Linked DNA regions of Arabidopsis thaliana. The protein of the gene in region 1 interacts with the protein of each later gene in a biochemical or structural test. Each region holds a gene or a part of one and is shown in the gene's direction. Other genes may lie near its edges.

Evidence for each region.
Region 2: the proteins of NF-YA6 (region 1) and NF-YB2 form a complex in vitro, tested with the Arabidopsis thaliana proteins (one study listed by BioGRID).

What each region holds. Positions count from the first base shown.
Region 1 is NC_003074.8:4,640,108-4,645,198, forward strand, and holds NF-YA6 (nuclear factor Y, subunit A6), read left to right. Parts: upstream 1-1,822; 5' UTR 1,823-2,402; exon of another isoform or gene 2,403-2,407; intron 2,408-2,549; exon of another isoform or gene 2,550-2,776; 5' UTR 2,777-2,860; coding exon 2,861-3,137; intron 3,138-3,237; coding exon 3,238-3,320; intron 3,321-3,431; coding exon 3,432-3,512; intron 3,513-3,592; coding exon 3,593-3,763; intron 3,764-3,879; coding exon 3,880-4,194; 3' UTR 4,195-4,464; downstream 4,465-5,091. Other genes in the region: CID4 (CTC-interacting domain 4), read left to right, coding at 1-57, 134-211, 324-428, 552-584.
Region 2 is NC_003076.8:19,307,209-19,311,036, forward strand, and holds NF-YB2 (nuclear factor Y, subunit B2), read left to right. Parts: upstream 1-2,018; 5' UTR 2,019-2,205; coding exon 2,206-2,778; 3' UTR 2,779-3,064; downstream 3,065-3,828. Other genes in the region: AT5G47635 (Pollen Ole e 1 allergen and extensin family protein), read right to left, coding at 73-365, 440-641; NUDT2 (nudix hydrolase homolog 2), read right to left, coding at 3,183-3,371, 3,469-3,577, 3,650-3,684, 3,780-3,828. UniProt on the Arabidopsis thaliana protein: Component of the NF-Y/HAP transcription factor complex. The NF-Y complex stimulates the transcription of various genes by recognizing and binding to a CCAAT motif in promoters.

The sequences.
Region 1 (5,091 bases):
GGTCCTAGTCATGTTCCTGTTCAGCAGATGCCTGGAATGCCGCCTGTTAATTACGGAGTAAGTTCCGTTTGTTATATATTATATAAACCCAACCGAGTTATGTTTTCAAAACTCACCATGTGAAAATTGGCAGCTCCCGCCATATCCTGGCAACCAACCACAGATGATGTATCATCCTCAAGCCTATTATCATCCAAATGGACAACCTCAGGTTTGACAGTAACACACAAGCCCTATTGAATTACTATTCCCACACACATACACAAAAAAAAAAAAAAAACATCAAAAGTCTAATGGTGATTGGAATTGGAATTGTGATGTAGTACCCACAGCAGCAAATGATACCTGGTCAGCAGCAGCAGCAAATGATACCTGGTCAGCAGCATCCTAGGCCAGTTTATTACATGCATCCTCCTCCTTACCCGCAGGTTATTATTTTTGCTAATAGTAGATTCCCTCTTTTTGTTCTTTTTTTATTTTTCTTTTACATAGTCGAAGAGTTAAAACTTTTGGATGCTGAAATCTCATCTCTGTATGTGTGTGTTTTGCAGGACATGCCATATCATAATAAAGGACGAGAGTAATAACTACTACTACCCGATGGTGATGATGTTTTTTTTTTTTGTGAAGGAAGTGTACGAACCCCTCTCTGGTTTTATCCACTCTCCCTTACCCAATCACTGAAACCATTTTCTTCTCTTTTTTAGATTCGCCTACTGATTTTGGTATTTCGTGTTGAAAACAAAAAGAAAGAAAAAAAGAAAGAAAAAAAACGATCTATCTGAAGTCTGTAGTACTGAGTGCACTCTCTCCTTTTTTTTGGCTGTATCAGAGATATAAAATTTAGAGTGTAGGTTGCTCTCATGCGTCTTTTACTTCGTCGTCTGCATATTTTTTTGTGTGTGTTGTGCTAAATTTCTGGGTGATTTTGTTATCTAAAATCCAAAAAGGATGCGGTTTAGATGAAAAGAATAGAAGAGTAACAACGATTTCAAAGCAGGCAGAACTAGTCATTTTTGGTGTTGTTGTAGGGCATGCTTTTTTCAATAAGTCGTTAAACGTTACTATAAGTAGTTGTCTCGCGATTATTATCATGATGATCGATATGACTCGGTGTATATGATTTGGTGGGCAACACATTCATGTTTTAAGATTCCACAAGAAAAAAATAAAATGGAATCAAACCTAGTTTTACCAGTCGCATATATTATTAGGTTAGGTGACTGCATTGAGTTGTTTATTTTTTACTTTTTTACGAGTCTCTCTCAACATTTATTGTTTTTGCTTTAAAGTGGAGATTTTAACCGTGGCTTGAGCTTGACACTTACGAATGATGTTGGGTCACCAATCTTCATCTAGAATTTACCTTATAATCACTTAGTTCAATTGCGAATCATGTTTTCGATGTATTTTCAACAACTTTTCACGAAACCAACTAACATATTTTACGGTCATCCGCTATGATAGAAAAACCGATGAATTTGCTAAGTTTGTTTCTTTCTTTTCAGTATGGATACCGAAATGAGACAAGAAAACAACGAATATTCAACTACAATACCTTACTTGTAATTGTAATGCTCTTTAAGAATCTATCAAAACTCATCGTTATGCAATTACTGATTTATTTCATGCGAGAAAAACCAAAAGTCCGGTCAAACAAAAAGGCAAGTGTGTCCTTATGTTGTGACGACGTGGTTTCATCATCCAAACACCGGACGTGAATATCACGCGCGCGTGGATTTCGGAACAGCGATGTGGCGGCTGTGAATACAAAGATATCAAGCAAGGTACACAGAATGTGTGTCTCTGTTTGTTTCTTTAATGGGACATTTTCACTTCATCAGAATCTGATCTCACCGTAAGCCTTTATACATAGTTGTACCCACTTTTTCTGTTTTAATCTTAAAGTTTACTATTTTTTCTAGTTGATAAAATGGAGTACTCATTATTTGTTACTAGTAGTAATTAATAAGGACAGAAAAAAAAAAAGGAAGAAGACAAGAGTGGTTCACAATCATAATGTAAACAACGAATAATAATAATTAATGTCCAGGTAAAAAGGTAGTGTTCATGGTGAATTAGTGGTGGCAAAAAAGTTGGTACTACTGGGAGAAAAAAAAAAAAAGGTTAGGTGAAGCTTTTTAGCCATAGCCAATAATACTACTCAATTTTGCAGAGACAGTGAAATGCTGAAATTGATAAAGAGAGAAAAAAAGAAGAAGAAAGAAGCCATGTTTTGAGGAAGGAGACATGCATCATCTCATCCTTTTATGATTTTTTTCTACATCTTCACCAAATCCATAGATTCTCTCTCCCTCTGATTTTTTGGTAAATTTGGTCGCTATATTTGACTACTTGTACTCTGCTTTGAGAAGAAAAATAAAACCATTTTTGGGTGATAGGTGAGAAAAAAATCTAAATACTTTTTTTGTTTCTTCTTTTTTAGTTATGTTCTGTTTTCTCGCTTGTTGTTTGGATCAATACTGTTCCAAGGTTGGTTTTATTTTCCCTTCTCAAGTTAGTGGAATTGCATGTTTGTGCTTTCTCTGTTTTTTTTATATCTAATTTGTAATCAAATCCGTTAATTCTCAAAGTCTGAATCTTTACTTTCTATTTTAGTATGGTAATAATTGGATCTGCTCTATGGTTTCTTTCTCTTAGATCTGTTGTTTGTTGCTTTTTCTTTGTGGATCAAGAATGGTTTTTGATTCCTTCCAAGTGAATAATGCAATATCAATATATCATGACTGGTTTTTTTACTTGATTGGAATTACAGGTGACTGAATAAACATCTCTTGTCTCTTGATGGATCTACTATGGTCTGGAGATTAGTTCGTTTATTGAACTAATGTTTTAGACAATGCAAGAGTTCCATAGTAGCAAAGATTCATTGCCTTGTCCTGCAACTTCTTGGGATAACTCTGTCTTCACCAACTCAAATGTCCAAGGATCATCATCCTTGACCGATAACAACACTTTAAGCTTGACAATGGAGATGAAACAAACTGGTTTTCAAATGCAGCACTATGATTCCTCCTCTACTCAATCCACTGGAGGAGAATCATATAGTGAAGTTGCTAGCTTAAGTGAACCTACTAATCGTTATGGCCACAACATTGTTGTCACTCATCTCTCAGGTCCACCACTTTTTAACCTTTTTCGCCTGAGTAAGAGTTCACATTGCTGCGTCAACTGCATTTAATTTTAGCTTATCTATGGTTTCTTGTTTTGGTGCAGGTTACAAAGAAAACCCGGAAAATCCTATTGGAAGTCATTCGATATCAAAGGTGTCTCAAGATTCAGTGGTTCTTCCTATTGAGGTTAATTATTAGACTATCATCTTTGACCTTATTATAAACCTTGTAGTAGTTCAAGATGAGACTGAGTTTAAAGCTGAATACTATCTTAATGATGTCTATATATGCTCACAGGCGGCTTCTTGGCCTTTACACGGCAATGTAACGCCACATTTCAATGGTTTCTTGTCTTTTCCTTATGCATCACAACACACGGTAATACACAATTGTAACATTTCAAGATAATACTGTTTCTTGTATCTTTATGAAAGTATTTGTTATGGAAATCTTTGCAGGTGCAGCATCCTCAAATCAGAGGGTTGGTTCCGTCTAGAATGCCTTTGCCTCACAACATTCCAGAGAACGAACCAATTTTCGTCAATGCAAAACAGTACCAAGCCATTCTCCGCCGCAGAGAGCGCCGTGCAAAGCTTGAAGCTCAGAACAAGCTCATCAAAGTCCGCAAAGTATGTTTGTTTATCTATATTGCACCACTCTGATAAATAGAATTATATGCAGAAAGTTTCAGTTATTATGTCAAGAGTCTTGACTCAAGACCAATTTTTTGTATGAAACTATGCAGCCATATCTTCACGAGTCGCGGCACCTCCATGCACTAAAGAGAGTTAGAGGCTCTGGTGGACGTTTCCTCAACACAAAGAAGCATCAAGAATCAAATTCCTCACTATCTCCTCCATTCTTGATTCCACCTCATGTCTTCAAGAACTCTCCAGGAAAGTTCCGGCAAATGGACATTTCAAGGGGTGGGGTTGTGTCTAGTGTCTCGACAACATCTTGCTCGGACATAACCGGGAACAACAACGACATGTTCCAGCAAAACCCACAATTCAGGTTCTCAGGTTATCCATCAAACCACCATGTCTCAGTCCTCATGTGAGAGAGCTCCGGCAAGTGGTGGATGAGATAATGAAGGGAAGTCATCCTTGGCTAATTTAAATCATTGATCCATTAAGTTTCTATCTTATAAATCTGCTTTCGTTCTACAAAAGAAGAAGAAATCTTTCAACTATTTTTTTTTTCCGTTGGCTGTTTATTTTATTTTATGTGATTGTTGCTGAATATTGTTTAATACTTGATTTAAGTTTATTAGTTTCGATTAAGTGCATCTGCATGGATTTGTGATTTATGTATAATTATTTGCTTTTAGAGCTCACGTTTGTTGCCTTTTATAGTCCATTTTCAAAAGAGATAAGATATTAGTCCCAGACTATACAACATAATCATATCTACTAGTAATCATATAAACCATAATTAGTAACAAGACCGATCACATGGTAATCACTTTTGGCTTTAGTCAAATATTGTGTGACATCTCATAATTCAAACGAAGTTGACCAACGCAAATAATCATGTTGGAACAAAATCATCTCATATATTATGTCTTCACGTTATCATTTCTCAATTTCTACAAACACCAAGTCTTTACGATTACATTCATTCACCTACCATTGATTGGACTTGGACATCTGTCTAAATCTCTGCTATCCTTCAGATTTTAGCACAAGATCCCATAGAGAAAAAGGATCTTCATATTTTTGATATTGGTGTGTCTCACGGCATGCAATGGCCCACTTTGCTGGAGGCTCAAAGCAATACCACAAGGACCTCCTCCTCGTGTTCGAATAACTGTCTTATCCGATCTCACCGAAGACATACCTTTCTCTGTTGGTCCACCAGCGTACATTTATGGTACTCAATTCATTGGTTGTGCTCAGTCCCTCAACATAAACCTCCAAATCAGTGTGCTTGACAAGTTCCAACTCATTCATACCTC
Region 2 (3,828 bases), on another chromosome or scaffold:
ACATGAAGGAACTTGAAGAATCAGCTGTTTGTGTTCAAATCTTTTGGTTGAAATGTTGTCTCAACGAGCTTGCTATGATCTCGAACTGTGGCCCTGTAACCTGATTTTCCCTGAGGTGTAGACACGGAAACCATTGGTAGAGGAAACAAGTTTGATAGGTTTGTGTATATTGGTAGAGGTGTTATAGCATCTATAGGGCCTAGGCACATATACTGGCTTGATGAAACAAGTGTTTTCAAGGTGTGGAATCGCATGGAGTTGGGAGGGAAGATCGATTTCAAACTCTCCCAATTCATCAGTAACAGCCTTAATCCATTTGGACCTCCTTTTGGATCCAGTGTGGCACTTGATGGCAACGGTGGCACCTGCGAGGATCATGTTAGTATATATTCGGACGGAAGACAAGAAACATGAAGAAAAAAGGTAGAGAAACAAATACCTGGGATAGGGATGGAGTGAAGGTGAGGACGTGAAGTGTCGCAGAGAAGAGATCCGGTGATCACGACAGAGGAGAGTTTCTGTTCACCGTAGCCAGCCATCTCCACCATTTCCGTTCTGGTCCATAAATTATTCCCAAATGCTCCGGTGAACAAGAAGAAAGAGAGTAACAAGAAGCAACGGATGATGAAGAAGCTTCCCATCGTTAAAAACAAAGAAAAGAGGTTTGTTTGTTTTTCTTTGTATTTTGTTAAAGAAATGAAAATAGCATGAATATATAGAGAAGAAGAAGGAAGCTAAAGAAGAGGAAGAGACCCTTTGCGTGGTGGCTTCAGGTCACACAGCTCTGTACGGCAGTGTCTCTCTTTATACCTTGTAGTAGCCTTTTTCTTTTCAGTTGTATCTTTTCTAAATATATTAAAAATCGTGGCTGACTTGTTAGGGTCAAATTTAGAGCTGAATCTTCCAAATGAAACAATGAACCGAGAGCGAAAGAGAAAGAGAGATACGGCACTTGGAAGCAATTACTGAGTGGTTCGCCTACTCTTTCACTCCTTGTATAAGTATTATTTTAATAATAATATTTGGTGCAACGTTTTTGTATCTAGTGTGACGTTTCTCCTTTTCTTTATTTAATTAAGCCAATTCAGTTAGAGTAGTCATGCAGTAACCAAAAGATTCAAGCCTACCCTCAACTATACTCGCACACATTCAGCTTTGAACACAACGGCTTCAACATCGTGGGTTTGGTCGTGTCTACGTGCTCAGAATATCTAGTTGATGGTGGGAGTCAGCAGGGTTTTGACCAAACCACAGTTTCTCAAGTCCTCATTACATTGAAAAAAGTATGGGCTTAAAAGAAGCCTAGATATTGATAATAGGTCCATCACCTTTAATGGGCCATTCAGTTTGATTATCTTAACGGCCCATTAGGATTCTCCAGGTGGGACAAGTATTAGCTATGTCATTAAGAGCTTAATACAGCTGGAAGCTGGTGATTATTGTTAATGTTAACTAATCACACGCTTAGAAAAGCGACAATGGTTGGACCCACAGGAGAAGATCGAGACCGTCAAAAGTGGACAAAACTGGGACGCTTTTTGTTTCCAAACAGCTGTCTGATCTGATTGGTCGATGCAGTTTTGATGGCAATGAACCCCACCACAGACCACACCCTCATGATCCAACCCAATTCGCTCGTAACACAAAAAAAAAAAGAAGTGAAAAATTGACCGAAGGGTCGTTGAGTGGCAGTTACCCTCTGTCTCCCTAACGCCCACCTATCTTCTCCGTGTTTTCCACGCGCTATCTTTCTCTCTTCTGTGTGTTTACCACGCTCCTCTTATGCGCGTCGGCTCGTGACAAAAGTGTGCCGGGTCCACTAACTGTCCACAACACGTGGCAAAGCCTTAAAGGGCTGTCTATCTCTCAAACAAGATCAATTCCAATCCGACGGTCGAGCACGTATCCAGTTGTCAGAATCTTATCAGTAAACGGACGGTTCATATAAGATCACGTGTCAAGTGAGCAGAAGTCGTGCGTCCTCTCTTTATATAAGCTCCGGCGACTCCTTCACCACTGTGTACAATACCAGCCGACACTTAACAATTCACACCTGCTCTTTTTACTCTTTCTAAAACCCTAAATTTTCTCGCTTCAGTCTTCCCACTCAAGTCAACCACCAATTGAATTCGATTTCGAATCATTGATGGAAATGATTTGAAAAAAGAGTAAAGTTTATTTTTTTATTCCTTGTAATTTTCAGAAATGGGGGATTCCGACAGGGATTCCGGTGGAGGGCAAAACGGGAACAACCAGAACGGACAGTCCTCCTTGTCTCCAAGAGAGCAAGACAGGTTCTTGCCGATCGCTAACGTCAGCCGGATCATGAAGAAGGCCTTGCCCGCCAACGCCAAGATCTCTAAAGATGCCAAAGAGACGATGCAGGAGTGTGTCTCCGAGTTCATCAGCTTCGTCACCGGAGAAGCATCTGATAAGTGTCAGAAGGAGAAGAGGAAGACGATCAACGGAGACGATTTGCTCTGGGCTATGACTACTCTAGGTTTTGAGGATTATGTTGAGCCATTGAAAGTTTACTTGCAGAGGTTTAGGGAGATCGAAGGGGAGAGGACTGGACTAGGGAGGCCACAGACTGGTGGTGAGGTCGGAGAGCATCAGAGAGATGCTGTCGGAGATGGCGGTGGGTTCTACGGTGGTGGTGGTGGGATGCAGTATCACCAACATCATCAGTTTCTTCACCAGCAGAACCATATGTATGGAGCCACAGGTGGCGGTAGCGACAGTGGAGGTGGAGCTGCCTCCGGTAGGACAAGGACTTAACAAAGATTGGTGAAGTGGATCTCTCTCTGTATATAGATACATAAATACATGTATACACATGCCTATTTTTACGACCCATATAAGGTATCTATCATGTGATAGAACGAACATTGGTGTTGGTGATGTAAAATCAGATGTGCATTAAGGGTTTAGATTTTGAGGCTGTGTAAAGAAGATCAAGTGTGCTTGTTGAACAATAGGATTCACTAACGAATCTGCTTCATTGAATCTTGTATGTAACTAAAGCCATTGTATTGAATGCAAATGTTTTCATTTGGGATGCTTTTATGTTTTGGTGAGAGTTATGTAGTGATTCAAGTGTCAAAATGCTTACATAGAGAGGCAGCAAAGAAACCAGCTTCGTTAGAATCTGTGAGGAAAGCTCTGTTTGTTGAGAAAGAAGGTCAATTGCGCGAATGTAAGTCGCGGGTGTTGTAGTACAAGTTGCCTTGTTGATCAGGTGCAGAGACGCGGAGAGGAGTGAAGCCTTCGTAGTCTCCGTTGGTTTTAGCAGAGCAAATGTCTGTCATATACCTCAATAGCTCATAATTTTGTACAAATGGTTGATTTATGTATTCCTCCCAAGGCATCCACTGCACCAAATTCCCATTTTCAGAAAGAGAAGAGGTTTATGAGTGTTTTAGTGGATGAGACTGGAGAGTCGTTGAAGTGAGGAGCAAAAACTGTTACCTGAGCTGCCTCAATCTCTGACTCCTGTGCGTTGATCTCCAAAGAAAGGGGCTTTAACATGCACACGAAGAACAAATCTGACTTTCCAAAGAACGCTTTGTGTGTTTGTCTGCCAGAATTTTAAAACAGACGAGAATCAGTTATGTTGCAATATAGAAGATTATGCAGTTGGAGTTGCTACCTGAAGGCCAATATTTGGTCGAATTCTGTATCCACCTGAAAACATACGATGCAGAAGAGTGGGATTAGCTCTTGGTCTCATGTAAACTGTAAAGAGGACAGTGAAAAGTTGAGGCATGAAGAAGCCTTACTCCGGTCTCTTCTTTCACCTCTCTGACTGAGCCATCATGAATGTCTTCA